Linked DNA regions of Rhinolophus ferrumequinum. The protein of the gene in region 2 interacts with the protein of the main gene of each other region in a biochemical or structural test. Links are inferred from orthologs where the notes say so. Each region holds a gene or a part of one and is shown on either strand. Other genes may lie near its edges. The genes, in order: HRK, BCL2L1, PMAIP1 and BIK.

Region 1 (6,510 bases), on a different chromosome or scaffold from region 2:
CACACATAGTGGGGCTCTGGCCGGACGTTCCCGCCCCCTGGGTGGGGCGCCCAGCATCCCCGCCTTTTCCTGGGAAGAGAACGCGTTCCCAAAACCTAACCTGGACCCCAAGACCAGAGGAAGCCGTGTCCTAGCCCGCCTCCTCATTTCTTCTGGATTCTTCCAGCTTCCATCGTTCCTTCTAGCCCACTTTCCTACTAGCGTGCAACTTGTTCTCTAGGCTTTTTCTCCAGCTCCCGCGCGCGACCTTGCTTCTTTCCCTGTCTCGCCACCGGTTTTGTTTTGTTTTTTTTCCTTCTCTTTCCAACCTTTTCTCCCCCTCCTTTTCCCAAATTCCACGCTTTGGCTTCGCATCTCTCTCATCTCCTCTCTCTCTCTCTCTCTCTCTCTCTCTCTCTCTACTCTCTCTCTCTCTCCTCCCTTTTCTGCTCCCTGCGTCCGGTCCAAAATGTTGTTCCCTCCCCTGAAGATTTGGCAGCCCCAGCCTGGCCTCTACCGGTCGAAGAAGACCCTCTTTCCCGAGAGAGTAGTAGCGTATGGGACCTCCGGAGTCGGGCAGGAGCGCCCCGAAGCGCTCACCTCTTCGCCAGCAGCCCGGGCTGCGCAGGCCCACGCGACATCTTTCGCCTGCGCTTCCACGGCTCCACACCCTGCGCACCCCCGCAGCTCCCGGGGCGCTGCCACCCCCCACGCTCCGGCTGCCGTCTCTCTCCCGCGGGCGCAGACGCTCGGGCCTCGCCTCCGGGCGCCGCGCCAGCTTCCCAGGATGTCAACGCTCGGTGGGGCTGAGACGCGACCTGAGCGCGGGGCATCGTGGGCCGTGGCATCTTGGTGTCTCTGGCTTTCTCACCTTCGACCTTCACCTTCCCACCCTAGACCTGCCTATGGTGGACTCAGCCTGATTCTCTCCACCCCCATGCTCTGCAGCTCTCCTCTCTATTCCAGAATCTGAAAAGACATTTCTTACACGTTTGCTCCCTCAAAGTGCCTAAACGTAGTGCCAGGCACACAGTTGGGGATGAATAATTCCCCAACCCCAAGAGCCTAGAGCACAGTAGGTGCTCAGTACCTCACTCCCACTGGAGCGCCAAACACAGTAGGCGCTCAATACTCACTCCCCACCCCCACCACCGCGCAATGCCTAGCATTCTGCAAGCTCTCAAACATTCCCTCGCTAAACAGGGCCTAACACCCAGAAGGAGCTCAATAAATGCCCTTTCATTAAGACTTCCCCACGGAGTTTCCCTAAGAACCTCAGATCCCAGCCTACTGCGGGGGCATCTCCTCCAGCTCAGTTCCAACCGTCTGGTGAAGAGTGGGCCACGATCCTTAAACGGGACACCTCGCTGGAGAAAGAGCGAAGAAGTTGGCAGAGCGGAGGAAAACTGTAAAGCGCGCGGGCCTTTGGGAGAAAGAGAGCCAGCCAGAAACCTGGAGGGGGAGAAGTCGCGAGATGCGCTCGGGGCGCGGGAGAATAGGGAACAGAAACTGGAGGAGTGACACTTAGAACGGGGAGTGGCGATGATGGAGACGGTGGCGATTTAGGACCGCCAGGCGGCTCGGAAGAGGATGGGGCGGGGGGGGGGGCTTGTCTTGAAACAGCGATAGATTATAATTATTTGGCGTGGCTTGTAACTCTGTTGTCACAGCAAGCACACTTTTTACTTGTGTGTTTACTTGATTATGGAGGCTGAAGTCCTCCAAAAGCCACCCCTTTGGAGGGAATGGCAAGATGCGCGTAAGGAGTCGGAGAGAAGGGGACAGAAACGGTGGACCTGACACTTGGAAGGAGAGATGGGGACTGGATAGGAGGGGCACGGGGATCCTTGCGAGAGAAGGGAGTAGAGGAAGGAGATGGGAAGGGAAGAAAGCCAAACTTGCCGCTCTCCCGCTCCCTGGCCAGCCTAGCGTCTCCAGTCCCCAGCTGCCGCGCCCTGGCGCTCGCTGGCTGGCTAGCGTACCTGTTGCTCGCTCCGGCTGGGTCTCGGCTCCGGCCCCACCAAGAAGCCCCGCGTTCCTACAAGTTCCGCCTGCCGAGCAGCCAGGCCGCCAGCGCCGCCACCTGCGCGGCCGCGCACAGCCAGGGCCAGTAGGTGGGGAGCGCGCCGGGCGCCGGCGCCCTCCGGCTCCGCGCGCGGCGCCGCCACATGGTGCGCTGGTGCAGCTCGTCGCCGAGCGCCTTGAGCCGGGCGGCGGTGAGCTGCGCCGCGGACGAGCGCAGACCCAGGCGGCCTGCACTGCAGGCGCACACGGCTGGGGGGCCGCGGCCGCGGTGCAGGGGGCACGGGCACATGACCGCTCGCCTCGTTCCCTCCCCGCTCTCGGGCCGCCCCTCGCCTCCTTTGCCTCCGGCCTCTGCGCCTGCCTCCGCCGCGCTCCAGCCGCCGGGGACCTCCCCTGGACACCAAGTTTCTCCTTGTGTTGTGCGTTTGTTGTGCTGACGGCGCTATTATTAATTAAAGTGTCACATGGTGGAGGGGGGCGGGGAGGGCTGGGGGAGGGTGGGTTACATCATCCGGCCCCGGGAGGGGGGGGCTGCAGGCAGAAGAAACCGAGAGGTAACTTTTAACCCTAGCGGCGCCGGCAGCGAGGGGGCGCGCGGTTTGGGAGCAGAGGAGCGCGGCGCTGGGACGCGAGATAGGACGCCTCGCCGCGGAGGTCCCGGGCTAGGGCGGGGGATGTCGCAGGGGACCCCAGTGGAGGCGTGGAACGCCAGGAAAGGTTTTTCTCCTTCCGTTTTTTCCTGAATTCAGCTCCAGTTCCAATTTGGCCAAGGAAGCAGGCTTGTTTGCCGTTTTGGATAAAGCTGATATCGAATTCGGCTGCATTATTCAAAAATAGTCCAAGGCTATTGTTTTGTTTTGGGGAGGTGGGTTGGTTCAAAATCTTACGAGAGGGCCAGATTCAACCCAACCTGCCTACTTTCAGGTCTCACTCGGCACCTGTAGGCTTCGGATTTGGGCACACTGGACACACGCCCCAACCCCTCCTCCCCACCCCACTGCTCTTCTTGGCCAGACGGCACCCGCCCCCCGCGCTGCTAGAAACCCTGATGGAGGCGCGGTGGGGGTTGCAGAGGTCGAGCCTCAGCCCTCGCCCGCATTCTCTGCGCTCCGCACTCACAGCGGAAAGACCCTCACCAGGGGCTTTCTAGAAGGAAACTCATTTTTGTCGGCTTCCTTTGTGAATATTATTTTGCTGCCGGGGTTACAGTTTCTAGTGGTGATCACAGTTCGATGCGCAGTAAAGACCCTAAGGGGTCGACAGGGGTTGGGGTTCCACGGGGACATGAGCCCCTCTCTTTCTAAACCGACTGTCCTAGGTCCCTCCAGACTAGAAAGTGTGGAGTTGTTCCTGATAGTGAAGTTACAGATGGGCGAGGGGGCTCCCAGGATTCTTTGAGGGAGAATGAGACCTTCTCCGATCTTAAATCCATTGGGATTCAGATAACTTTTGAGATTCAGAAATGAGGAATCTTTGATTCTCTGCTCCCCACAGGCAGTGTTGCCAAGGCCTGGTAAGTCCTTTGGTCACTGGGAAAAGATTCTTCAAGACAATTGCACTTAGTTTGGGTCTGGATTTAGTATGAGGAGAGATTTTTCCTCCTCTACAGCATGTCAGGGCTCAGATATCAGCTCTGCTATGTGATCTTGGTGGCCCCTACTGTCAACCAGCCCCATTCTCTTACCCCTAATCATGGCCAACACTTCCTCAGTGCCTTGTATGTAAGTTCCTGGGCTATGGTCCCTGCCTGGCTGCCTAAAGTAAATCTCCCAACAGTTGGGGGGCAGGGGGGGGGTTGCTATTACTATCCTATTTTGCAGATGAGGAAGTTGAGGCACAGGGAGGTGAGGCCACTTGCCCAAACTCACAGTTTGTGAAGAATGAACCTGGATCTAAACTAGAACTGTCTGTGGCAGGCTCTAAACTCTTAACCACGGTTTTATACTGCCCCCTGTAATCTGGGAATAATAATACCTCCTTCTCAGGATCACGGCAGCAGAGATTAAATGAGAAAAATGTGTGCCAAGCACCTGGCATGCAGTGGGCCCCGGATAAACCTTGGTTCCCTTTGCTTCTGGCCAGAACCACTTGCCCATTCTCTTGGGACTCACCTCCTTAATCCCCCCTAGTCTTTGCAGAGGGGACCTGAGCCATTGCCGGGTGTAGTGTTCCAAGAATGAAGCTACAGTGTCTATTTAAAAGGCCCTTTGGATTTAAACTGAACCGTTCCCTCCTCCCGCCCACCCCCCCTTTTTAATCTGCACGCTTTTAACGGCTCACTTCATGGACATTAATTTTAATGGGACGATTATTACCCTGTTTGGAAGCCTGCCCCTCGAAATGCTGGGCTCGCAAGGTGGCGCTGGGTTGGGGCCCAGCCGCTTGGATGTTTTCTGTAGCAAAGAGAGTACAGCGTTGGCCATGGGGATGTGTCATTCAGCAGAGGGAGAAGAGAAGAGGGTGATGGAAAAGTGGGGGGAAAGAGAAGGTCCCCACACCCCACAACCACCCCCCACCACCACCACACATACTGGTCGTCGGACATTCCCTGATTGGCGCACACTGGAGTTCTGGCCGATTCCACTGTTCACTACTCGGGGAATGCGGCCTAGAGATGAGGCTCTTTGGAGCCTCCCTTCCTTGACTGTAAAGTGGGAATAATAATAGTACCTACCTCACAGAGTGAAATAAAATCATACTGAAATAAATCCCCCTTAGCACGGTGTCCGCCGTGTCATCCGCGTTTAATAAAGTTTGGCTGCTGATAATCTTTTTAAGTAGATCGTGTTGTCCCTAAACAGTGTGCTTTGAAGGATGTTGGAGGGCCCGCACCCTCAAAGAGTACATCCGGTTCCCCTACAGTGAATTGGTGATTCTTTTGCTGATGTTAAGTGTTGTCCAGAAAAGGCAACTACTTCGGGAGAGTAACAACAGAAGGCTGTCCTAACACTTTAGAAAAAAGGAGTGTTTTCTTTTAATGCTTAATTTAATAAATACTTACATAGTGCTGACTGTGCGCTGGGCACTGTTCTAAGTGCTCAGACATATCAACTCATGTAACCCTCCTAACAACCCATCTCATGGCACAGGTACTATTATTTATCCTGGATTATGGATGACTAAATGCGGTGGAGCATTGAAATCACTTCTCCAAGGTCATATAGCTGTGGGACCCCAGATGTTGGGCTGCTCTTTAGTATTATTTCACCATCGGGGATTTGGGAAGAGGGAGGGAGGCTGTTACGGGCTGAACGGTGTCCGCCCCCCCCAAGTTTTTCTATGGAAGTCCTAAGCCCCAGTACCTCAAATGTGACTGTAATTAAGTGAGGTCATTTGAGTGGGGCCCTAATCCAACCTGATTGGTGTCCTTATTTTTAAAAAGGGAGGGCCACCAGGGGCACAAGAAGGTGGCATCTGCAAGCTGAGGCCTCGGAAGAAACTTACCCCGCCGACCCCTTGATCGGGGACTGCTGGCCTCAGAACTGGGAGAAGATAACTTTCTGCTGTTGCAGCCACTCAGTCTGTGGCACTTGGTTGTGACAACCTGAGCAAATGAATACAGAGCCAATGAGACGTGAGGACTCTCCTGAAAGGGATGTTAGAAGCAGATATTCACCCGACTTTGGCTGCTTTTACTGCCAGCATGTGCTTGCACAGCTTTGTGGGTTCTTTGTGAGAAGGGTTGCATTCTGGGGACTGTTCGCCTGTTCCCCCTCCTTCCTTTTTCATGCCCTGTTGGAGATGTTTAAAGGAGGGGTTGTTTTAGGGGGTTATTTTGAGAAATACTTCATGAAATACAGAGAAAACTTTCCCTACCAGTTGCAAGGATGTGTTACCTCTCTCTCATAGAGTGAAGAAATAAGACAGAATTTTTTAGTCCATGAAGGCTTCCTCTGATACCCCAGTGCTTAAAATTGGGCAGAGCACATAGCAGGGGTTCAGTAAATATTTGTTGAAAGGAAGACTCAAGGAATGACTGAATGGATAAATGAATGAATGGTAAGCATCCTGATTTGTCTTTCTTTCAGACATACACAGTGATGTACATAGAATTGTTATCATCAATAACACAAAAAATTTCTTGTCCCAAATCATTTCCTTACCTCCTGCAGAAATCACTGCTCAAGTGTTTTGAGCAGGAAGGGGAGGAGGATTTCTTTTCTTTAATTAAAACAATAATTACCTATCCTGGTGTTTGAGACCAAGTGAGCCTTACCTTATGGTGTTTTAATTCGTGTGGCTTGGTGAAGTGGTAAATGAATGAACAGCTGTTGCTGCCTCCAAACAGCTGTGTTTCCTAAAGCCATGTATTAGTGCCAAGGCCAGATTGGATGCCAGGAGTTGGTGAACAACAGAGCTCTTGAATCAAAGAGTCATAGCAGCGTGGTTTCACACTCTGAGCCAGAGAGACCTGGGTTCGAACCCTAGCCCCACCAAGCAATAGCTAGGTACCTTCGGGCATATTTTTCACATTCCTGAGCCTCCACTTTTTCATCTGTAAAATGG
Region 2 (7,991 bases):
CAGGCCAACCATGCAGAAAGTTATACACTTCAGAGCAAATGAACATAGAGATGAAACACAAACACAATTGGTCACTGCCCTAAAATGAGACAATCCTCAGCCATCCAAGCCAGTGAGAACTCCTGCCTGACCATGTCCTTTGCTGAGAGTATCAGATATGCAAACTCTGAAATCAAGAGAACTTGGTGTCAGGGAGGAAAGCCCAGGACAGGATTGGCACCTCTAGGGGAATAAGAATGGAGGGGCTGTGGGTCCCTGATACTCACTATCTTCTTCAGGCATTCTACTCATCACCCCTTTGCGTGGCCAGCCATTATGTCAGGGTGAGAGGAACACTGGGCTAAGTTCCCACTCTCAAAGGTTCTGGGACAAATGAACACACAGGTTATGTTTTCCTCTGCTAAGAAACTGGAACACAAGTATGAAAGAGTGGGGTCATGAGGGTGACCAGAATGAAAGATGCCTGGTCCTTCAAGAACGAGATCATCTATTTCAGAACAATCAACCTCTTGTGGTGTAATGAGGCCAATCATGTCTTCTTAAATAACACGTCCAATAATCTCCCAGCACAACAGAAAGAGATAGGAGGAAAGGCTGTTGGGGATCTCTCAGACGAGAGGCCAAGAAAAGGGGACACACAAGGGGCATGGTCCTTACCCAGCCGCCGTTCTCCTGGATCCAAGGCTCTAGGTGGTCGTTCAGGTAAGTGGCCATCCAAGTTGCAATCCGACTCACCAATACCTGCATCTCCTTGTCTACGCTTTCCACGCACAGTGCCCCACCGAAGGAGAAAAAGGCCACAATGCGACCCCAGTTCACCCCATCCCGGAAGAGTTCATTCACTACCTGCTCAAAGCTCTGATATGCTGTCCCTGGGGTGATGTGGAGCTGGGATGTCAGGTCGCTGAATGCCCGTCGGTACCTCAGTTCAAACTCATCACCTGCCTCCCTCAGTGCTTGCTTCACCGCTGCCATGGGGATCACCTCCCGGGCATCCAAGCTGCTGCTGTGGCCAGTGGCTCCATTCACCGCAGGACTGTCCGCCAGGTGCCAGGATGGGTTGCCATTGATGGCACTGGGGGTCTCCATCTCTGATGCAGTCCCTTCTGGGGCCTCAGTTCTGTTCTCTTCCACATCACTAAACTGACTCCAGCTGTATCCTTTCTGGGAAAGCTTGTAGGAGAGAAAGTCAACTACCAGCTCCCGGTTGCTCTGAGACATTTTTATAATAGGGATGGGCTCCACCAGTCCATTGTCCAAAACACCTGCTCACTCACTGAGTCTGGTCTCTGCTTAGTGGTTGTCTTCTGAGATCCAAAACCAAGATAATGTTCTAAAGGAAAAAAAAGAGCTTCAGGGAAAAAGAAAATTAACATGCATACCATTTACCCTACAACATCCCAATGCACCTCCAGGTACCAGAACTGGTTTCTTTGTGGCTCTTAGGAAGGTCTGGGTCTAGCTTCCCGGAGTTCAATGAAGTCGAATTAAAAGCACCAGTGGGCTCTGAATCATTACACCGGCCTTTTTTTACCCCAGCCACCCCCTTTTCTCCGAAATGTCTTCCTCGGAAAGTCACCCTCATGGGCAGTCTGCATCCCATCCCCACCCCCGCACCACCTACTTTCAAATCTGTCTCAGGCGACGGCAGGCAGGTGCAGTCCCCGAATATCTTTTGTATCATATAGGTCGGAAGAGGAGGTGGCAGCCGGGATGCCGGTAAGTCAGCCGGCCTCGCGGCGGCTGGCAAAAAAAACAGCTCCGGCTGGAGGGATCATGCGACCCGGCAGGCTGGGAGCCCAGAAGGCGACACAGGAATTAGGAAGCTCACGAACCCACCGCCTCGCTGGCTTCTTCCTCCATCGCCCAGAACGAGGGCGGCCTCCTGCCACCGGGAGCCCAGCCCCCTCGCTCTAGACGCTCCTTGGCTCTCCCTCCGCCTCCTACTGGGAGCCAGGAGAACTCTCCCAGAGGTGGCTGGTGGAGAGCTTAGGTTTTTTTGGTTTTTTTTTTTTTTTTCTATTTAAGTACCGGCCCAGGCTTCCGAAACCCTGAAGGGACTTCTCAATGGGGCTCAAGGTTTCGATGAGGGACGCAGGGAGGGGAAAACTGCTTCGGATCTGCGGTCTGACTTCGGAAAAGCCATCCCCGGGTCTTTCCGGGAGGCTGAAGGCCGGGGACCCCTCAGAAACGCCGCTGGTATTCTTTGAATTCCCCAAAGGCCCTGGACGCGGCGGTGGCGGTGGGGGATTGCCGGGTCCTCCATTCCCCACACGGACACAATGGCCGCCGGCGCCCTGCACAAAGACGGGGTGAGGGTGAGGCGCCGGGCCTCTCCTCCGGTCAGGAGAAGGGTCGAGGCCTGCTCGAGGGCTCCCACAGCCGAGACCACGTTTTCCTGGGGCCAGGCCCGAGGCAGCTTCCTCGTGCCCCCGGGAGGACTTGGGGGCCGGAGGCTGCCGCTCTCCGGAGCCCGGGGTGGGTGGGCTGCGGCCTCGCGGCTTCTCCCGCGCTCAGGGCCGGGTACCCGCCGGGCCACCGCCCCGTTGCTAGGCAACCGCTCTCCCTCAGGGGCGCCCCCTAGACCTTTCTGGGAGGAGGGGTCTCGCCCCCGGCGGCCCGCCCCAGCATAGCCAATCAGAGAGCCCAGTCGGTAAGTAAACGGGACGGCGAGGGCTCCCATTGGGCGCAGCGCCTGCCACGCACAGAAGAGGCGGCACTCTCACCTGCAAGCCCCGCGAGCCGTGGGGGGCCACATCCCCCCTTGTCGGTCAGGTCGCTTCCAGACGCGAGGGCTCTTCGCGGCCGGGTTCCGCGCCGCGGACCCGGGCCGGCCTACCTGGCGGACTGCTCGCGCTGTCTCTTCCGAACGAGCCGGCCTCAGTTTCCCCTGAAGACACCGGGGGAACTTGCAAGCTCAGTCACTTCCGGTGCCGCGGCAGCGCGCGCGAGCCCGAGACGCAAAAGTGCGCGCCTTGAGGACTGGCGTCAAGACCTGGAAGAGAGCGCCTCCTTGCGGTAGAGCTAGGGAATCCGGAGGCGCAAAAAATATATATGTATATATATTTGTATCAACGTTTACATTTCACATTTCCATTCATTTAGTCAATTTCACCCATCCGTCCGCTTATATATCGAAAAAGCATCGTGTTGTGACTAAGAAGCCAGTTGGTCAAGTTACTCAATTGCTCCGTGCCTCACTTTCTTTAACTGTAAAAATGGGTAAATACCAATCTCCCTCATTGAGTTACTGTAAAGATTAAAAGAGTTATGTGTGAAGTCTGTAGAACAGTGTGTGGTCTGTAGTATATGCTGCATAAATTCATTCATAAAATGCTTATTGTTTGGTTTCTGAAGATAGAGTTGGGAACAAGACAAGACTCGGTCCCTGCTTCCATGGAGACTTAAACCCTTGAGATGGAGAGAGACAGTAAATAACTAAGAAAATATACAAACAAGGTAATTTCAAATAGCGACTAGTGCTATAAAGAAAGTAAATAAGGGTATTATCATAAAGGTGGTGAAGGGAGAGGTGCTACTTTAGACTTGGTGGCCAGGGATGTCCTCTTTGAAGAGATGATATAGAACCCAAGACTTGAAGTATAAGAAAATTCACACCTATCAGAAGAGCCTAGAGAGTATCAACCTAGGCAGAAGGAATAGCTTGTGTAAAATGTCCGGAGGCAGGAAGATCTTGGTATGTTCCAGAAGCTGAAGGAGAAGCAATATGACTGCAAGGTAGTGTGAGGAAGGGCAAGTGTGGTGTGAGAGGAGGTTGGAAAGCTGACCATGGAAGTAAGTTGGACTTGATTCTGAACATTAAAACGTGTTTTATTTTGTGTTAATTTGATGGATTAAAAAAATAGGGATACAGGAACACTGAATGTTAAAAACATATCAAAGAGTGTAGAATTAAAAAGTAAGTCCTATTCCCACCCTGCTTTCCAGTCCCCAGTTGCCCTCACAGAGATCATCACCCTTTCCTCTGTGGTCTTTCAGAGATGGTTGCTATATTCACAAACACGTGTAAATGTTTTACACAAACAGTAGCTTGCTATAAAAGCTTCTACATCTTCCTTTTTTGCTGATTTCTACATTTTGGATCTGCCTCAATTTTTAAAATTAACACACAACTTTATAAAGACATGCCATACTTTACTTGCCCAATCCCCTATTTTGGAACTCTTAGGTAGTTTCCAATCCTCTCCTACTACAAATAATACTATAACTTGGCCATTTGTTATTTTACATATGTGGGAGTTTATCTGCTAGGTAAATTCCTGGAAGTGCAATTATCAGTAAATGAGTGTATGGATTTGTTTTTGATTTGTTTGAATGGATATTGGCAAAGTGCTCTCCATAGCAGTTGTACCAGTTTGTCCTCCCATTAGTAAAGTATGAGAGTGTCTATTTCCTCACATCCTGAACTGCACAATGTGTTATCAAATATTTTTATCCTTGCCAATCAGAAATAAAAATTGAGAGGCACTTTTATTTTTCATTTCTTTTCAGTAAGAGTGAAGTTGAGCAATTTTTCATATTTATGATTCTTCTGGGGGGGTGTCTTGTTCTGGTGAAGTCTCTGTTCATTTCATTTGCCCTTTTTTCAGTTGGTCTTTTCAACTTTTTTTCTCATGGATTTATAGGAATTTTTATCCTTTTTTTCTACATATAACTTGTAAATATTTTTCCAGTTTATTATTTATTACCATGGAAAGTTTATTTTGCATGTATTTTATCAGTCTTTTCCTTTGTGGCTTCCGGGTTCTATGTTATTCTTAGGAAGATCTTCTCCAGTTTGATATTATAAAAATAATTCTGTTTTCTTCGAGTTTTTATATGGTTTCATATTTTATATTTCAATCCTTGTTCCATCATAAATTCACTTTGGTGTAAGGTGTGAGGCAGGAATTCAAATTTTTTTTTCTGAATAACTGCCCAGTTATTCCCAATATGGTATACCATCTTTTTTCAACTCATTTGAAATGTCTCCATTAACACAATCTACATTCCCAAGTGTGTTTGGGTCAATTTCTGAACTTTCTGTGATGTTCCATGGAAGGGTTTTAAACTGGGCAGGACATGATCTGCTTTCATTTTTAAAAATCTGTGATGAGATGATTCTTTCAAGGTGAAAATTAACATGATGGAAGTTCACGATGTGCTTTGGGAGCCCAGCAGAGGGCAGATCAACTCTGTCCAGAGACATGGGATTCATTGAACTGGCTCTTAAAAGAACAGGATTTTGCCTACAGTAAGAGAGAAAGGAGGTAAGGGACATTTTAGGCAGAAGGTACTACTTGAGAAAAGGCATGGAGGTCTAACGTGGGAGCCTATGGTGTGTTCAAGAAATAAATTGGGACGGCTAAGAGGGGTGTGGTCGTAAAGGAGAATGAATGTAACTGTGTAAGACCCTAAGTGTGCAGGACACTAAATAGGCACCAAAGGAGCCAGCCAGTCTTTTTAAACAGAAAGGACATGACGAGATTTATATTTTGGAAAGATGGATAGCGTCTTTTGGGAAAGGAACTTTACAATATTTATGAAGAGCCTTGAAAACAGCTCTTGAGAGATCATTGAGAAATGATGTTTGATTGGAATCTAATTTAAAGTAGTGAAAAGCGCCTAGAGATTTATCTTTAACAGAGATATTTATGCAAGGTTATCTATAACACAGGAAAGAAAAATTAAAACTGAAAAGTTCAATAAGTAGGATGATGTTTTATAGGGGTTAAATTTACACATTACAATTGTAATTGAGGAATATGTAATAATGTGGGAAAATGCTCACAACATAACACTGTAAAAAATAGATTATAAAACTATACTGAGAAGTATTCGAACTTATAAAAATGTATATTACATGCAAAATATAGTTGAAGGAATTAAACCAGAATCCAAAAAGGTGGTTATTGTTGAGTAGCAAGATTATGGATGCTTTTATTTTATTTTTTAATACTTTTCTGTATTATCTAAAAATGACTGGATTTTTTAAATTGGAAAACAGTATTTTAAAAACTTGTTTGCTGAGATTTGGACGATGAGAAAATACTTATTGTCTAATGTAAAGTGAAAATAAAAGTATACAAAATTAGATGTGTGATATGATCTCAACTCTAAATAATACCGTGAATGGGGAAAAGGCTGGGAAATCAATATGATAAAGACAAAAGAAAAATGGAGAAACCCCTTGCACAGATGTTAAAGAGTAACAGAACCAGAGATGTCAATAAACCTGACAAGATGCTCCCCCTCACTAGTTACCAGGGAAAATGCAAATTAAAACTTCAGTGAGATAACATTTCATACCCATTAGATTGGCAAAAATGAAAAAATCTAATCAAATCAAGTGTGGTTCAAAAATGTGGAATAACTTTGGAAAAAAAATTTGTTACCTGGTCAAGTTGAAGATGCCCATGACCTATGACCCAGCAATTCTGTTCTTTGATGTATGCCCTAAAATAAGGTATAAGGTTTATAGGGCCAGACCGGTGGCTCAGGTGGTTGGAGCGCTGTGCTCCTAACACCAAGGTCGACCACCGGTTGGATTCCCACATGGGCCAGGGAGCTGCGCCCTCTACAGCTAAGATTGTGAACAATGCCTCTCCCTGGAGCTGGGCTGCTGTGTGCGGCCAGGAGCGGCCGGCTGCCAGTGTGAGCGGCCGGCAGCCATCGTGAGCGGCGGGCAGGCCAGCGAGAGCTGCTGGCTGCTGTGAGCAGCTGACCAGCGACCGACTGCCTCAGCAGGGGGAGCACAAGGCTCATCATACCAGCATGGGCCAGGGAGCTGTGTCCTACACAACCAGACTGAGAAACAACGGCTTGAACCGGAGCAGGGGGTTGAGGGGGTAGAGGGAGTGGGGGGAATGGCAGGGTGGGGGAGGAGTAAGGGGGTGGGGGGGTGAGGGTGACAGCATGGGTGGGGGGAGGCGGAAGAAGGGGGGGAAGAATGTTTATAGCCTCATTACTTGTGATAGCAAAAATTGGGAAACTACCCAAGTGTCCATTATAGCAAAATGGATAAATACATTAATTACTATTTGTTTATACACAGTACTATAATACAGTGAGAAAATAAGTGAATTTAGCTACACAGAGCATGAAAGGATCTCGGAAACATATCACATGAAAACATTTACAAAAAATAATGCAGTATGATTCCATTTATATATAGTTTGAAAACAGGCAAACTAACCAATATGCTGTTGAGGGTTTGTGGTAGCCAGCCACCTCCAAGATGGCCCCCAAAGATCCCTGCCTCCTGGTATTCACATCCTTGTGTAGTCCTCTCTCTCATTGTACCGGAGTTGTGTGTGACTGATAGCAAATGGCAGAGATGATGGTATATCACTTCCAAGACTAGGCTACACCTATCTCTCTCTCATCACTCACTGTGGGGGTAGCCAGTTGCCCTGTTGTGAGCAGCCCTATGGAGAGGCCCCTGTGTGGTGAAGATGGGAAGCTTCCTGCTGAGTCACATCGGATCTTCCTGCCCCAGTCAAGCCTTCAGATGACAACGACCAACTTGACTACAACAGTATTTGAGACCCTGAACCAGAACCATTCCATTAAGCTGGATTCCTGACCCTCAGAAACTGTATGAGATAATAAATGTTTGTAATTTTAAGCTGCTAAATTTGGGAGTAATCCATTCTACAGCAAAGGTAACTAATACAGGGATATATGCATATGTGGAAAATTACACAGAGATGTAAAGGAATTGTGAACATGAAATTCAAGATAGTCATTGCACATTAATAGGTGAGTGTACAGGATAAAGCAGGGAACAGAATTAAATTGGGAGCTTGAAAAGTCATGGAAATGGTCTTATTAAATTGTACATATGCACAGAGAATATGTTGCCTCATTATTCTTTGTACCTTTCATACATTTTACATATGTATGTGTAAATATATTTGTATATGTACTACTCAATATCTAATAAAAGAAAAATTTAAAAGACAGGAAGGAAATATATTCAAATGTTAATG
Region 3 (7,479 bases), on a different chromosome or scaffold from region 2:
CTAAACCTGTTCCCTCAGGAGTCATCTTATTTCTTACATTATCTATACTGCTTTTGAGCTTTATTTCAGGCTGCTTAAATCCATTGTCAAGTTTACTAAGGGAATTTTGGTTTCTAAAATGTGCAAATTACAGGGATAGCCAGTTATTTCAGTTGGTTAGAGCATGGTGCTAATAACACCAAGGTTGTTGTTTCGATCCCCGCATGGGCCACTGTGAGCTGCCCGCTCCTTAAAAAAAAAAGAAAAAAAAAGTACAAATTACAAATAGGAGGAAAGGTTTATACGAGTACATAGAACTTTTTAAAAAAGGCAATTGGTAAAGGGAGACGTTATAGATTGAGATGAGTCCCCCCAAAAATATGTTGAAGTCCTAATTCCCCACTATCCCCCACCTGCCAACCTATGAATGTGACCTTATTTGGAAGTAGGGTCTTTGCAGATGTAATCAAGTCAAAATGAGGTCCTATGGGATTGGTGGGGGCCCTAATGCAATGACTGATGTCCTTATAAGAAGAGGTAAATTTGAACACAGACACAAAGAGGGGAAGGTCATGTAAAGACCAGGACAGACATTGGAGGGATACATCTGGAAGTCAAGTGTTGCAGGAACTGCCACAAATTGGAATTGGCAAAGGAGGATTCTTCCCCTGGAGCCCTCAGAGAGAGCATGACACCTTGAGGCTGACACCTCAAGGCTGACACCTTGATTTCAGCCTCCCAGCCTCCAGAACGGTGCAAGAATAACTTTCCATTGTTTTAAAACACCCAGTTTGTGGTGCTTTGTGATGGCAGCTCCAGAAAACTAATATAGGTGAAGATGTCAATTATATTTATGCTGAAAAATATCAAGTCTTGCTCTAATAGAAGGGGGTCCTCTCCCAGTCAGGAAATATGGGAATTTTAATAAGACCGGTTAAAACAGTGAGTTTGCTGACACTACCATCAGGTATGAGAATTCCAGCAGGATCTTCACTAGTCACACTGTCTCCAGTCTCAGCTCAACTAATCTAGTCACACTGCAGCCAGAGTGAGCTCTCCAGAATCTGATCATATCGCCCACCTCCTTAAAACCTTCAGTGGTTCCCCCCGCCCTCACTGCTTCCACAATAATACCCAAATTCCTCAGGCAGCTTCTCTCCCCATTTACTTCTCACCATTTCCCACTGCTCTTCACTCTCCGCAGGGAACACACTTCTTCCCTTCAGCCTCATTGCTTGGCCAACTCCTATTTATGCCTCAGGTGTCTATGTAGACGCCCTTTCTTGCTTAATTGACCTCCCATGGTCTGCCATCATTTCTCTGGCCCAGCTCTAGGCACATCTTGTTGTACCTGCCTGTGTGGTTACCTGTATCAGCCTCTAGCCTTGTCCATAGACCAGAAGCTTCAGCATCACCAGTATGTTTAAGAAGCAGTATGTTAAGACCAGCTAGATCTCCAGAATCAGAAGTGAACTTTAACAAGGCAGTCTTTCGCACCATGCTTTTGTAAGGTATTGCTCTTTTCAACACAGGTTCCATGGGGGCTAGAAAGCACTTTCTCCCCGGAGCCTAACCCAGTGTCTGTCTTAAAGAAAGATTTAACCAATTAATGCATCAGGGTGACTTCGTGTTAACAAACATGCTCTACAGGAAAAAACAAACAAGTCCCCTTTTACAGGAATAAACAGACTTAGGTTTACAGCCTATACATATATATCTTCACTGGCTTCCTTTAAATTTCCCCCTTATTCATCGCTCATATCTTCTTGTCTTCCTGTTAAATCCTATTTTCCACATGAGCTATATGAATGACTATTCTATTATTAATCATGTTTGCTGTTTTGTTTTCCAGTATTTTTTTTTTTAACATGGGAAGTGACAACACAAGCATGACCAGATTTGCATTGTCATTGTTGAACTTGGTCCATGAAAACTTATATCTGGTAGTAGTAGTAGTTTAAAAAAATTGTTGCTCTCACCAGTCCTAAAAACAACAACAACAACAACAAAAACATAATAGGGGATTTTAATGCTTCATGAGAAAATTTTATTTTATCAGTACCAGTGGTCAAAATATCTCCATATTTATATTTCGTGCAAGTTCTCATTAAATGATACATCACTTTTCCAGAGACATACTGGGGGTGCCAAAAAATGTGTACAAGTGGACACTTTGGTCAGCGTTGCTCAAGCAGTAGTTCGCCATAATCAGAAGTGTTGGGACACTGATGGTAACCACTTTGAGCACCTCTTGTAATTGCAGAAGTCAAATGTGACATGTATTCATCTTTGGTTATCGGTATATATTGAGTATTACAATTTTAGTACAGTTTTCCTTTCTTAAAATGTGTATCCATTTTTTGGGCACCCTCTGTGGATAGTTAAGAAAGGTTTTTCACATTCAGCTTCGATTTCCCTTAATAGAATGTTGGGTCTGAAAAAGACTGTGAGGCGTCTCAAACTCATCTTAAAAAGTCCTCCATAAATGGCTGATTTTGACCCCTCTCTGAAGCCCACCTCCCCCCACTTGCTCCTTCCTTTTCTTTCGAATTTGCAATTCTCTAAAAGACACAGCTTGCCTAGGTTTGTGTGGACCACGTGACCAACAAGCTTTTATAATGCTAAGATGACAGGACCGGATCAACACGCCCTTTGTAGGTAAACAATGACATAATTTGTTTTTCTTTTGTTGAATGTTGTCATTGCCTTTCAGCGTCCATGATTGTCTCAGAAGTTTACTAATTTATCCTATCAGAAAGTTAATGATGTTCCTTAAGAGTGAGGTTTATCAGAATAAGCCTCGAGGAGAGCCGCAGTGGTTTTGGGCTCTCCAGCAGCTCCGCAGGGCTTTCTTTGCCACTGGTAGAAAACTCCCGAATTCTCTTAATCCCAAAGTGTTTACCACACTCAAAACGAAGTTGTTTAAACTCAAATCGCAGTTTTGTTCCAGGCTTCCAGTGTTGTCTATGCTTCTGCTGGACCAAGCCAAAATAAATAGTCGAAGATTTGTGTTGATTGAATGATTTCAGGTAAATAAACAAGCTCAACTGCCTACTGGGGCCAGATAATGTAAATGAGAAAACAAACAGCAGGGAGTGTGGCTGACAGGGGCTCCAGCTCCCTAAGGGAAGAAGCACGTTTGGAAAACGGATCGCAGGTTTGTCTGAGTTTCCAAAGGACGCCAGAAATCCAGGGTTTTAATTCAGTCTCTCAATTTTAAATGTTGGTAACCAATGCAAATGTTCACAAGACATTTTGCAGACCAATCCTGTGAGCCAAACATTTCTACTAGGAAGCCACGCAACTCTAAGCAGCCAATTTGCAACCTCTGCATGAAATAGCGGGGCTAACAAGCAGCATACATTTTCTCAGAAACTGATCGCCGGAAGGCTGCAGTGGACAACAGCTCTGGCTCCCTGTGGGCCTGCCTGGGTTCAGATCCTGGCACTGCTCTCTGCCTCCGTGAGCTTGAATAATTCACTTCACCTCGGTAAACCTCAGTTTTGCACCTGTAAATTGCGCAACACCGCTATGGTAAAAACGCCCGTTTCTTGGCGTTGTTTTGAGGACAGGAGAAAATGCCCGCTTAAAAGCCTGAGCGTGCAGCGGCCCTCAATACCTGTTAACCAACCCGAATTACTTCTTTTCATAATAATGGAATTAGTCAAGGGCCAGCCACACATTGTGCAAATTAACTTCGTATTCCCAGGTAGCTCATTCCTCCCTCCACAAAAGCATTTGAAAGTTTTCTGTAGGATAAAGCACTTTTTTTTTTAGGTTACTTAGCATCCGGAATGAGCAACATCGACCTCTCCAGAGAGGAAGCCCCCTGTCTACAAATACACACACACACACACACACACACACACACACCCTTCCTTCCAAATCAAAACAGTGTTTCAATTTGTAGCTAACTTCCCAAGTGTCAATCTGGTACTTTATTTACTCCCATGGCCTCTGGCATCATGCCTTCTGTTATTAAACTTCTCTTCATTGCACTTTCCTGAAACTCCCCACGTTCTCCGAGTGTAAAAAACTTGCCTTTCCAAACTTTTTGGGGGCTTTGTTTACAGAAGTCTATAATTGCCCATTTATGATAAGGACGAAGTTCCCGGCCTCTCCAGCCCCGGCTTGCCTGCTAGGAACACCTTCCTCCACGCCGGACTCCTGGACCCCGCCACCACTGCAGCGGACTCCACCTCAGGTCCCTCGGCCCCACCCCCTCCTCCCTCACCCCGTCTGTGACAGAAGTGATTTCGGGACTGGGCAAGGTCTCGCCCGCCGAGCGCCCTGCACCTCCCGCCGGGGGTCGGCGCCGCCGCGGGTCGGGAACGTGTTCGCGAGGTCGCGCGAGGTGGCGCGGGGTTCCCACACCCCCCTAGGCCAGGCGCGCGCACCCCGGGCCACTGCCGCTCGCTGGGGCGGGGAAAGGGGCGGGCCTGGCGTCTAGTTTCGCTACGTCATCGGGAAGTCCCTGTAAAACGTGAGCGTGGGCTCTTGCTTCTCCCCAGAACCCGAGGTTCTCGGCTACCCACTGAGTGCCGTCTCCAGCCGGCTCCCATCAGGTCCAGCCCGCCCGCCTGGCGCGCAGCTCGCGTCCTGTAGACCCCAGGGTGCAACCCAAGGTTGGGGGACTGAGTTCCCCGGAGGTCTGCAACAGACTTCCCGCCGGCTGCTCGCGGAGATGCCTGGAAAGAAGGCGCGTAAGAACGCGCAGCCGAGCCCCACGCGGGCCCCGGCAGGTAGGGACCAGATGGGGTCCGCGGCGATCCTGGCCGGGGTGGGGGCCGGGGCCGGGGTCGAGATCTCAGTTTGGGTGGGGTCAGTCAGTCTGCTCTGGGCCTCAAGGTCCGGCGGGGTCTGCGTCCTTGCACGTGTTGTAAGGGCGCCTCCTGGAAGTTCTTCAGGGGTTTTACCTAGGACTGTGGAGACGGCGAGGGAGGGAGCCCGGTCTGGGATTGGGATGCAGCTGCATTTTAGCGGATGCAAAAAATCTCCTCTACGCGCGCCTTGTGTCCCTACTTGCCCTGCCGCAGGGCCACCGGTGGGGGGAAAGTGCAAGTGCGAGCGTCGGCTACGAGGAAAAGTCATTATCCCAGCAGGTGGGGAAGGGAGAAGCTCCGGGAGCCGCCTGGCCTCCCAGCACTTCCTAAGGCAGGGCCTCACCCTTCCGAGTCCTGGGGCGTCGTGGGCCGTCGAAGGCCCTGCTCCGAGCCTTAGCACTCGCTTCACCCCCAAACAAAAGCAGTGAGGACGCTTGATAACAGCTCTTCCACAACCGGCTGAAGAGTGGTGGAGGCCGCAAAGAGACCATTGCGTTCGGGGGCCCAGAAAGTCTTGCTTCTTTGTTAAGAGTACATTGTATAACATTTGAAACAATCGATATTAGTTGCGGAGTAGGGATAAAGAGCAGGAGTTGGTCCCCAGTTTTTAAGATCCTTCCATTCCTCCCCTGCCCCCACCGTAGCACCATCAAATAACTTAAGGTCAGCTCCTACCCCACCCCCACCCCTCCACCCCCCGCGCCCTTTTTATAAATCTTATCAAACAAGGCAGTCATCTGTTAAGGGGCAGTAGGAAAAAAGGCAGCAAAGCTTTGGCCTCAAAAATCCGTGTGGGCCATACTGCTATTACATCAGCTAGTAATAGGCCCCCTTTTTAACTTAGTTTCATTTTATAGAGCTCTTGGGACTTGCAAAGGAAGTGGTGCATTGGCAATTTGGCCATGGCTAAGTTGGCACCAGACTGCTCTCTCTGGCTCTTGCTTGGGAGGGAAAAATTTTTCTAAAATCTTTTGTGATGTCCAATAGTCCTGACCATGTTTTGGAAAGGTCTAAACTTGTGCGTAACCTTTACCCAGCCAATTTACTTAGTTCCCAAGAACAAGGAAGAGTAGAAAGGTCCCTCTTAAACTTAATTAGATAGTACTATATGTAAAAGTTGAGATACAAGTGACATATAGCATTGTATTAATTTTAGGGGTACAACATAATGATTTGATATGTGTGTGTATTGTGAAATAATTACCACAGTAAGTTAACATCCGTGACCACACATAGTTACAATTTTTAAAGTACATTTATACATGTGTAACTAACAAAAAGATTAAGGAAACAAATAGGGGCTATTTTCTGCCTTTTTTGGGGGGGGTGAGTGCGAGGGGTAATTTTTCCTCTTATAATTCAGGGCTTCCAAAATTGTATGCAGCGTAAATTTTTTTTAAGGATGGTAGGTTAATATATCCCACTTACTGCAAAGAACATGACTGTAAATACCTCTCAAAATGTTTGACTTGTATCCTATAAAGAATGGCACCTTATGATATTCATTAGGTCTCTTGTTAGAGATTATGAAAATTTCACCCTGCTCTTGTAACGAGAGAATTTTAAAATACACTTTATTATAAATTTACAGCTTTTCATTTTGAGCCTAAATAGGGTCTTTGCAGGGTGTGTTTACAAAATAAAACCAGATTTCAATTTGTAGTCATAATGACTTTTTTTTCCCCTTCCGCCTCCCCCACCCGCCTTCAAGCGGTTGTTTCTCAGTCTGGTTGTATAGGACACAGTTCCCTGGCCCATGCTGGTATCATGAGCCTCGTGCTCCCCCAGGCTGAGGCAGTCAGTCCCCGTAGGTTGGCAGCTCAAGGGGGCTCTTGCTGGCTGCCAGCCTTTCATGCTGCTCATGCTGGCCACCGGGGGCACAAAAGCAGCCCAGCTCTAGGGAGAGCCGTTATTCACAATATTAGCTGTAGAGGGCGCAGCTCACTGGCCCATGTGGGAATCCAACTGGCGATCTAGGCATTAGGAGCGCGGCGCTCCCACCACCTGAGCCACCGGGCTGGCCCATCATAATAACTTTTAATGTTCGTGGTCATGATCTTGAAGTGGACCAAAAGACCCTGAGTCGCTCATTGAAATATCCACAAAATTGAAATTATGGTCAGTATAGATTTGGTGTTAATTTCACTTGCTTAAAAAATTTACTTGGAAATTAGATGATAAGCAATATTTTTCTTAAATTAATATCCAGTTGATTACAGTATCTCCATCCTAAAAAAGTAGTAAATGTGTGAAGTAAATATTACTTATTTTCTGCTTCAGTTGTCTCCGTGAAGGCAGTGGATTGATAGAGGTTGGGTTTGGAGGAAGAATTTGGTTTAGAGTAAAATTTAAACTTCTAAATTATTTTAGAGAATGTGGGGTTAATTTTAGAATATGGTTTTATAAGTCTTTTATGAGAAATTTTTAGAGGTTTTTTAAGTGAGGAAAAGAATACCTTTAGATTTGCCTATAAATGAGGGCATAATTTGAGCTATGTGTTATGGCCATTTAAAAAATAAGTCCTATTGGAAAACAACACTGAAGATTTTAGAATTTGACTTCAGTTCCCCAACCAACCTTAAATGAGATAAAAAAGGATGACATCACCTGAGGCTGCCAAAGTCTCACTGACACGGACTCTGTGGTAATTGACATCTGTTCTGCTGTGTTTGACATA
Region 4 (7,699 bases), on a different chromosome or scaffold from region 2:
CAGAAAAACAGGTTTACCACGCAGTGCCCAGCGAGGCCTGGTGGATGTTTTGTGTTGTCACATCCTAATATTGACACTAGGAAAAGCAGCTGCCCTCCCTGAGCCCGCCCAGTGCCATGGACACCAGGCCTGGCCTCGCTCCTGCCTGGGGCCCAACGAGCCTTATCTGCTTGGGTTCAGTACTTCTCCCAGGGCCCGGCCCCAACCAACCACAGTAGGACAAAGGGACGCGGGGGTGGCTGCACATGTCCACTTTGGACCGCTGCAGGCTTCCTGGTGGCCGCCAACAACAAAACCCGAGCATGCCGCGAACTTCCTTAAAACCTCTTGGAATTGTTCTGGGCAGAGAGAAAAACAGCCGACTCTTGTGGGAGCCACTATGTCCAAGGCAGGGGAAGCAAGAAGCCATTAACTGTCTACAAACTTAATAGCTTCACTACAAACAGGATGCTTTCCAGGGAGAGGATTGAAAATGCCTTTGAGGTCAGCTTCACGACACTGCTGAATGGAACCTTTCCCCAAAACCCTTCCGTTTATTAGAGAGAGACAATCAGAAGTGAAAAAAAATGTGCTAACAGTGCTCTCTGGTTTCTTTGCAGCTCAGCAAACCCAGCTTTTACACCTACTAACCACCTGAAACTAACAACGTTAACATGCTTACAACCTTCTATCCCGCTTCTCTCCCCAGTGTGCCCCGACTCTTGGCTATGACATTTGGGGCTCCTGTTCTCCTGGATGTAACTCACACCAAGTGAGCCCAAACGGGCCATTTCACACTGTCTTTGGTGTCCTCCAGATAATAAAATAACGTCCTAGGACAAAGGAACTGGTGGGAGGAGAGGGAGGGCTGCACCTGCAGATGAGAGAGTCAGGGCAGACTTCTCAGAGGAGGCAGCAACTGAGCTGAGCTAACAAAGAAGGATGATTCGTGTGACATCCACAGGGACCATGTTGAGCGTATCACTCCATTTATTTTAGGCCTCACACCATCCCATGGAAAGTGTCACAGGATCCCTGGTGCTTGGAGAAATACATATCCCTGCTAAGATAGTTCCCACCCAAAAGAAAAAAAAAAATCAACTGGTGGCCAACTTACAAGGTTGATTAAATGTGTTCTCCCTACCCAGGAGGACATTCTGAGGCACTGGCTGAAAGTCCAGAGCTTGAAAGGCAGTCTCCCCAAACATTTCAGACGTTTAAAACCCAAAACAAGCAAAAATAAACTTGTACAACCTAATGTTGGCAAGGCTGGAAAAGCCACAGCTAAATCAATCAGTGACAACCCTGTGACCTTGAGGTTCAAAAAATGGGGAAATCCCCAAATCCTGGAGTGAAAAGAGAGGAGAAGAGTGGAGAAGAGTAAGACAGTGGTGAAGAGCACCACACAACAGCCAGATGCCAACATTGGGACCCAGGCCCAGCCACTGCCTCAGACAGACCAGTTAGGGAAGATGTGCAAAAACAGCACCAATAAGTACAAAAATGTGCCACTCCTAAGGATTTGTTCCTAAGGCATGCCCAAAATAAGTAGAAATAAGTTTAAAGTGTTAACTCCAGTCAAAAACAGCCAATACTTGGGTAGGTGTTCTCTACACCTGCTAGGAAACCTCATGGACCCATTTTACAGAATGAGCAAACTGAGGCTCAGAAGTGGAGTAACCCGTGTAGGACAACACAGGTGAAAAGTGGCTGAATGGAGGAGGGTTTTGGCATGGCTTCCAGAACACAGCTCTGGGCTTTACATGCTAGACAGCATTTAAATTGCTTCCTGGAACTTAAGTCACAGTTTCTCCATCCGTAAAATCAGGTTCCGTCCTGGGAGTGCAGCCAGCATAGAACTCAATCGTCTATCCCCTTCCTAATGGGGGAAGGATAAGACTGAGCACCTCCCTTCCTGGGAAGGTGGAGCGAAGCTGACCAGGAAAACCCTTTCGCGGGCCCAGCCGCAGCAGGTGCTCCAAAGAAAAATGTTACAGCAGCAGCAGCAGCAGCAGCAAAAACAACAACGTCCCACCGCCCGGGGTGGCACATTGTAGCAAAAATTACAGTAACAATTAACGGTTTACAAAGTGATTTGCAGCCAGGAGGCCTAAGCGCGTCACACAAGTCCCAGCCCCGAGCTCCACAGGGGCTCACTCGGGCCGAGTGGGGCAGGCCCTGCCGGTCACCGGATGGAACGCGCCCTGCGGCCCCCCAAGAGCCGAGCGCCGGCCGGCCGGCTCGCTGTTCACGAGACCAGGCCGCAGCGCCCCGGCCGGTCCGTGCGCGGCCACCCGCAGGCGCACCTGTAAAAGGCGCACCTGTGCAGGTCGCGGGCAGGTGGGGTGGCGGCCGCGCCCGGGTCGCGCAAGTTCCTGCTCCGGACTTCCCCCCGCGCCCCGTAGTCAAGCCTGTCTCCAGCCCTTCGCACGTACGCGGCGACTCGGGTCCCGGCGGGGACAGTGCCCGACGCCATCTTCTCTTTTTTAGTGGACACCGGGCTGGGTCGTCGCAGCCCGAGGCTGCCAGTCCCGCGCTCTGGCCCGGTGCACGGCCCGGGAGGGCAAGGGAGCCCGGCCCCAGGAGGCCGCGCAGGAGAAAGGAGCAGGGCAACCGGGCATCCGGCCCTCCGGGCGGGGCGCGGAGAGGCCGCCCATCGCACTGATGCTGAGACTGAGGCCCGCGCGGCCGCGGCTGGAGCCCCCGCCAGAAAGGGGACGTTTCGGAGCCAGGGTTTTGAGACGTCGTCCGCAAGTGACACACCCGACAGCTGCCCTGGACAGAAAAACCTGGTCACGGGTCCCCAACCTTTCAGCCGCTCTGCACCCAGGATGGCAGCCTGGGCGCTTACCTGCCGGGCTCGGGCTGGGCGGAGGGGGCGGGCGGCAGCAGGGTTAAGGTCCCCGCAGGGGAGGCAGGCCTTGTACTCACCTCGCGTCGGGGGTAGCGATGCTGTTGGCGGCGGTGCCGGGAGAACTGCAGCAAGGAGGCGTCCTGTGTGCAGCTGGCAGTCCGCGTGCAACCGTATAAACCGCCAGCCCCGCCCCTGCCCGCCCCCGGGGCCGCCTCTCCAGTCCCAGCGCGCTGAATCCAAGACCCAGGTAGGTACGAGTAGCAACACAACTGCTACAAGTGTGATCTGTTTACTTGTTTACTTCTCTCTGCCGCCTACTACTTGCAAAGTTTGTTTTGCCCTGTGCACTGCTTTCCAAGCTCGGGCTGCACACAAGTAGGCTCCGAGGTATGCAGGTGGTTGAATCCACTGGCCGAATTTGGGTATATAACCCAGGATCTTTACGTGGGTTACCTACCTCCTTTCCTCTTCAAAGCAGCCCTAGGGCTTGGTGCTTTTTTCACGCCTGTTTTACCGATGGGGAAACGGAGACTCAAAGAGGAGAAAATTACTTAGTAAGTAGCAGCGTGAATTCAAGCGCTCCAGGAGTCCTACTCTTTGTGCTGGCAGCCTCAGGAGTGAGGTTTGGTTTCGTGTTTTTTATTTTTTTATTGTGATAAAAATACACATAAGATTTACCATCTTAACCATTTTTAAGTGTACTGTTCAGTGGCATTAAACACATTCATAATGTTTACAACCATCACCATCCTCTCCAGAACTTTCCATCTTGTAAAATAAACCCGATACCCATTAAATAATAACTGCCATTCCCCCTTCCCCGTTCCCCTTCCCTGGGAGTTAGGTATTTTTAAGTCTGTTTTAAGTCTATTTCACAACTGTGAAAACTGAGACTCAAGCTTTGTTAGAAACAGCATCACAGCATCCTACCCAAACCTGGGGTCTTCCCGCCCCACTCCTCCCCCACTGCCTCCTTCCAGCCGCACCAACTCATCGCAGCCCCATTTCCCTGCCTCCAGTAGAGGGGCCGGATGCCCTCCTTGGGGGCTCCTGGGCTCATGGGAAACGCGGGGGTGGGGTGGGCAGTGAGGCCCCCAAAGCTCCCAGAGGAGGAGGTGAAATCAGAAAGTTTCCAGGTGGGGTGGGACCTAGCCCTGGGGCTGGTTAGGGAGGGGTGGGGTAAGGTCTGTGTCGGAGGTGGAGGGAGGCAGGCTGGAATTACAAAGTGACCATTGTCCCAGGAACACAACAACAAGGCTTGTTTACCTCAGTCCTGCAGCCTCTGAGGGCAGGGGAGCAGCAGGGTCAAGAGGGGCTCCCCTCCTCCTAGTTCTGCCATTTGCTACCTGGTGGAGCCCCCCTCACCCCTTCTTCCCACCTGTGAAGTGAAGACAGTGTTACCTACTTTTCCCTTAGTGTTCTCATCTGTGAAATGGGTTGACAGCACTGACCTCCCCCCTACACACACACACAACACTCCCAACCCCCATTCCCCAGCTGGGCTGTAGGGGGCCTCTGGAGGAAATAATCCTAAAATGTTTAGTAAACTATGCAGAATAATTTAAGTTTTAAGGCCCCTCCCTCCAGTTGGGGCGCCTCTGGCCTCTTCTGATGTTATAATCCTTTCTTTAAGGCCTCCCAAATCACATCATCTTGAGCCCCACAAAGCATGGATGTCTTGACCCTGGCTAATAGCTGCAGGGTGCCTTACAGGCAGGAGGGAGACCTCTGCAAAATAGAGGCTGCTCTCCAAATGCGTTCTGCAAATGAAAAAACAGACTTGGAGGGAAAGCAATGACACAGGGTCTCATGAGACAAAAAGACCTGATGTGTGTGAAAATGCCTCCAGAGGGGTCTCAGTACCAGGCACACAGCCGGTGTTCAGTAAACAGCAAAACTGATGGAGGAAGGGGAATAGTTTGGAGAAAGGTGGGGGATGGAAAAGCTCAAGGCAGGGGTGGGTAAGACTATTTGCCTTGCAAGGTCCCAAGATAATATGCTGATCAAATGGACGGGAGGAGGAAAACACCTTTTGAATAAGAATTGGGCCTGTAAAGACCCTGGCTTCTTATCATCCAAAACAGGCCCTGGGTTAGATTGTGCATGATAATAGCAGTAACAATAATGATGGCAGCCCTACCACTTGTTCAGGTCCCCTTATCTCAGGGCTAAGCACTTTCTGTCTCCTCTAATCCTTACAACTGCCCCATGGGGCTGGCCATCTCATGTTACAGACTACAGAGCACCCACAAAGGGTCTGTGCACAGGTAAGAGAGAACTTATGGCCCCATTTTACAGATGAGGAAACTGAGGCTCTGTAAAAGGAATGCCACTTGGCACCTAGCCTGTGGGAAGCAGAGGATGATTCAAGCCCGGGTCTCCCTACACCTCCTGCAGTGCCCTTTCCACCCTCCGTCCTGGGCCTCAGTTTCCCATTCTCCATTGGGATTTGCTGGTGTGTCCCAGGGCTATCGGGCTGGGTGTGGACCCAGCTCTCTAAGAGAAGACCATGACCCAGTGGGGCAGCCCCTTTTTTCCCTGGGGGCCTCCATCCTGCCAGCCAAACCTCTCCTGTTGAGGCCATTACCAGTTTTCTGTGGTTTAGGGACGTGCTGCTCAGCAGGCCCTCTGGCACCAATTTAGGGTTCAGTTTTGTCCTTAATACAACTTTTTTTTTTTGTCATTCATATAACAGGTATTGATTGGCACCTACAAAATATCAGGTAGCGTGATAGATGATGGGAATCTAGAGATGACGCTTTCTAGTCAGAAGCCCACATCCTAGTGGGAGAGACAGTGGAGATGGGACTCTGGGCAGCTTGGCACAGAGCCCGCACTCGAGGGAGAGTAAAGCCAGGTGATGAGTGGAGAGTGGGGCAGGGAAGCTTTCAGCCAGGGTGGTCAGGGGAGCCTCTTGAGGATGTAGACCTTAGTACAAAGACTTGAGAGAGGTGAGGACGCGGGACTTCCAGGATGGAGAACAGTCCCTACCCAAGTCCAGGGCGGGGTTGGGGGATGGGGGAGCAGCAGTGGCTGGCCAAGCATGTTTGCCAAGTGCTGGCCTCAGCATCCAGGGCCCACCTGGGGAAGCCAGGCGCCAGCACAGGTTTTCAATGACCCTGTTTTTCCACTTGCCATCCCAGACTTTTGTCCCCAGCTTTGGGACACCTTATCTGGAAAATCCTCCAGCTTTGAGAGAGGCTTTGTAATATCAGGAGGGACCCATCAAAGGGCTTTGCAGTTCTCTCCACAGTTGGGCCTGAGCTCCCTACCGGGAGCTAGAGCAGCCTAATGGCCATTTCACCTGCAACCCCCCTGGTGGACGCCTCATAGGGGTACCTTCGCAGGACGAAGGCCATCCAGAGCCTAGTGTTGCCTGGGTGATTCCATGCCCCTGCTGGCCCTCTGCAGGGTAGGTCTCCCCATTGCACAGATGAGGAAACTGGGCCTCGGAGAGCGATCCTAGCGGGTCCCAGGCCACACAAACAAGAGATTGAAGGCCTGGGGCTCCAACCCAGGTCTCTCTGGCCCATCTCACTTGGAGGTCTGTAGCTGGGCTTCAGGAAATCTGTGAACCCCCTAAAGTGAAGCGAAATTGTGGTTGGGGTATAAGCCTTTTCCGGGAAGGGAACCTGCAGCCTGGTCGGTGAGAGCCAGGACGCCAGGAGTCACTCAGCCTTGAGTTTTGAATCCTGGCTGCCTTAGTCCCATCCCCTGTGAAATTCCCCACGTCCCAGGGCTGCTGTCAGGATGAAAGTCTATGCAGTCCTCAGCGTGGTGCCTGGCACACAATAGGTGGTCAATAAAACCAGAGGCTGTTATTGAAGGAGCCTGTAGGAACTGGTGAAGAGTTTAACATTTGTACAAAAGAAACTGTATCTGAGAGATGCATCCTCTGTTAAATGAAATAACACACCTTGCAAATCAGTGTGTCCAGTACCATCCCCCATTTTTTAACACATCCACATCTAAAAGTCTGGAAGGGCGTGTAGCACTGCAAAATGGGAATAGTGGTTGGTCATCTCTGAGCGTAAGGATGATAGGTGGCTCCGGTTTCTGCCTCGCGTTTTTCTGTATTTTCCAGACTTTCCGTATAGACGTGTATTAACTTGGTAATCAGGAAAACATCGCTTCCTATTTTTAAAGAAGAGGAAGAAAACTGTTTGGTGTTGTCCCAGGCTAGAGCTGAGCCAAAGACAATGGCAAATGCCTAGCCCCCAGTGAGACAAAATTGGGACACGAGGACATAGTGGGTCTCAGACAGAAAGTGCCTCAGGAGAGGGAAAACTAAGAGCCAGCTCCTATAGAGGCCGCAAACATATCCGGAAAGGCTTCCTGGAAGAGGAAGTACTTGAGGGCACCTTGGAGAACAGGTATAGAAAGGTGGGTTTGGCCCTACTGTCCTGTGGGTACCGGGGAGCCATGGAAGGGCTTTGAGCAGGAAAGGGACTAGATCTTCAGGAATTGGAATCTGGAAGCCCTGTGCTGCAGACTGGAGGGGAAATGATGCCCAGAGTCTCTGAGAGTGCCCAGGGCTCTTGAATGGAGCATCCCAACCTCCGTGCAACTGGCAGAAGTGCCCAGGCTGCCCTCTCCCCCTGCAGCTGGCTAGCAGCACCTCCTTCACTTTGTGGTCTGCACATCCGGCCCATATGACTCCACAGTCAGTGGGGCCCTCTGTGGGCAGAACTGTTGGGAAGCCTTATTACATTCCCATTGTACAGGCAAGGAGACTGAGGTCTGGAGAGGCCAGCTGAGCTGCAGGGTAGAGGGGCATGGATGCTGGGGGATGAGGGGTAAGGACTTCCCTTCTCAGCTATGTGAGCTCCAGCACGGCCTAACACATCGGAGCCTCAGTTTCCCTTA

Evidence for each region.
Region 1: the proteins of BCL2L1 (region 2) and HRK interact in a biophysical measurement, tested with the Homo sapiens proteins (3 studies listed by BioGRID and IntAct, with this or other methods). The link is inferred for Rhinolophus ferrumequinum from reciprocal best matches to the Homo sapiens genes BCL2L1 and HRK.
Region 3: the proteins of BCL2L1 (region 2) and PMAIP1 interact in a biophysical measurement, tested with the Homo sapiens proteins (3 studies listed by BioGRID and IntAct, with this or other methods). The link is inferred for Rhinolophus ferrumequinum from reciprocal best matches to the Homo sapiens genes BCL2L1 and PMAIP1.
Region 4: the proteins of BCL2L1 (region 2) and BIK interact in a test that uses a peptide from one of them, tested with the Homo sapiens proteins (3 studies listed by BioGRID and IntAct, with this or other methods). The link is inferred for Rhinolophus ferrumequinum from reciprocal best matches to the Homo sapiens genes BCL2L1 and BIK.

What each region holds. Positions count from the first base shown.
Region 1 is NC_046308.1:10,643,978-10,650,487, forward strand, and holds the start of HRK (activator of apoptosis harakiri), read right to left. Parts: upstream 2,294-6,510; coding exon 2,018-2,293; 3' UTR 1,962-2,017; intron 1-1,961. UniProt on the Homo sapiens protein: Promotes apoptosis.
Region 2 is NC_046306.1:22,755,790-22,763,780, reverse strand, and holds the start of BCL2L1 (bcl-2-like protein 1), read right to left. Parts: upstream 3,021-7,991; 5' UTR 2,727-3,020; intron 1,920-2,726; exon of another isoform or gene 1,625-1,919; intron 1,334-1,624; 5' UTR 1,222-1,333; coding exon 658-1,221; intron 1-657. UniProt on the Homo sapiens protein: Potent inhibitor of cell death. Inhibits activation of caspases. Appears to regulate cell death by blocking the voltage-dependent anion channel (VDAC) by binding to it and preventing the release of the caspase activator, CYC1, from the mitochondrial membrane.
Region 3 is NC_046302.1:48,151,075-48,158,553, forward strand, and holds the start of PMAIP1 (phorbol-12-myristate-13-acetate-induced protein 1), read left to right. Parts: upstream 1-4,474; 5' UTR 4,475-4,663; coding exon 4,664-4,721; intron 4,722-7,479. UniProt on the Homo sapiens protein: Promotes activation of caspases and apoptosis. Promotes mitochondrial membrane changes and efflux of apoptogenic proteins from the mitochondria. Contributes to p53/TP53-dependent apoptosis after radiation exposure. Promotes proteasomal degradation of MCL1.
Region 4 is NC_046293.1:5,334,075-5,341,773, forward strand, and holds the start of BIK (bcl-2-interacting killer), read right to left. Parts: upstream 3,006-7,699; 5' UTR 2,911-3,005; intron 1-2,910.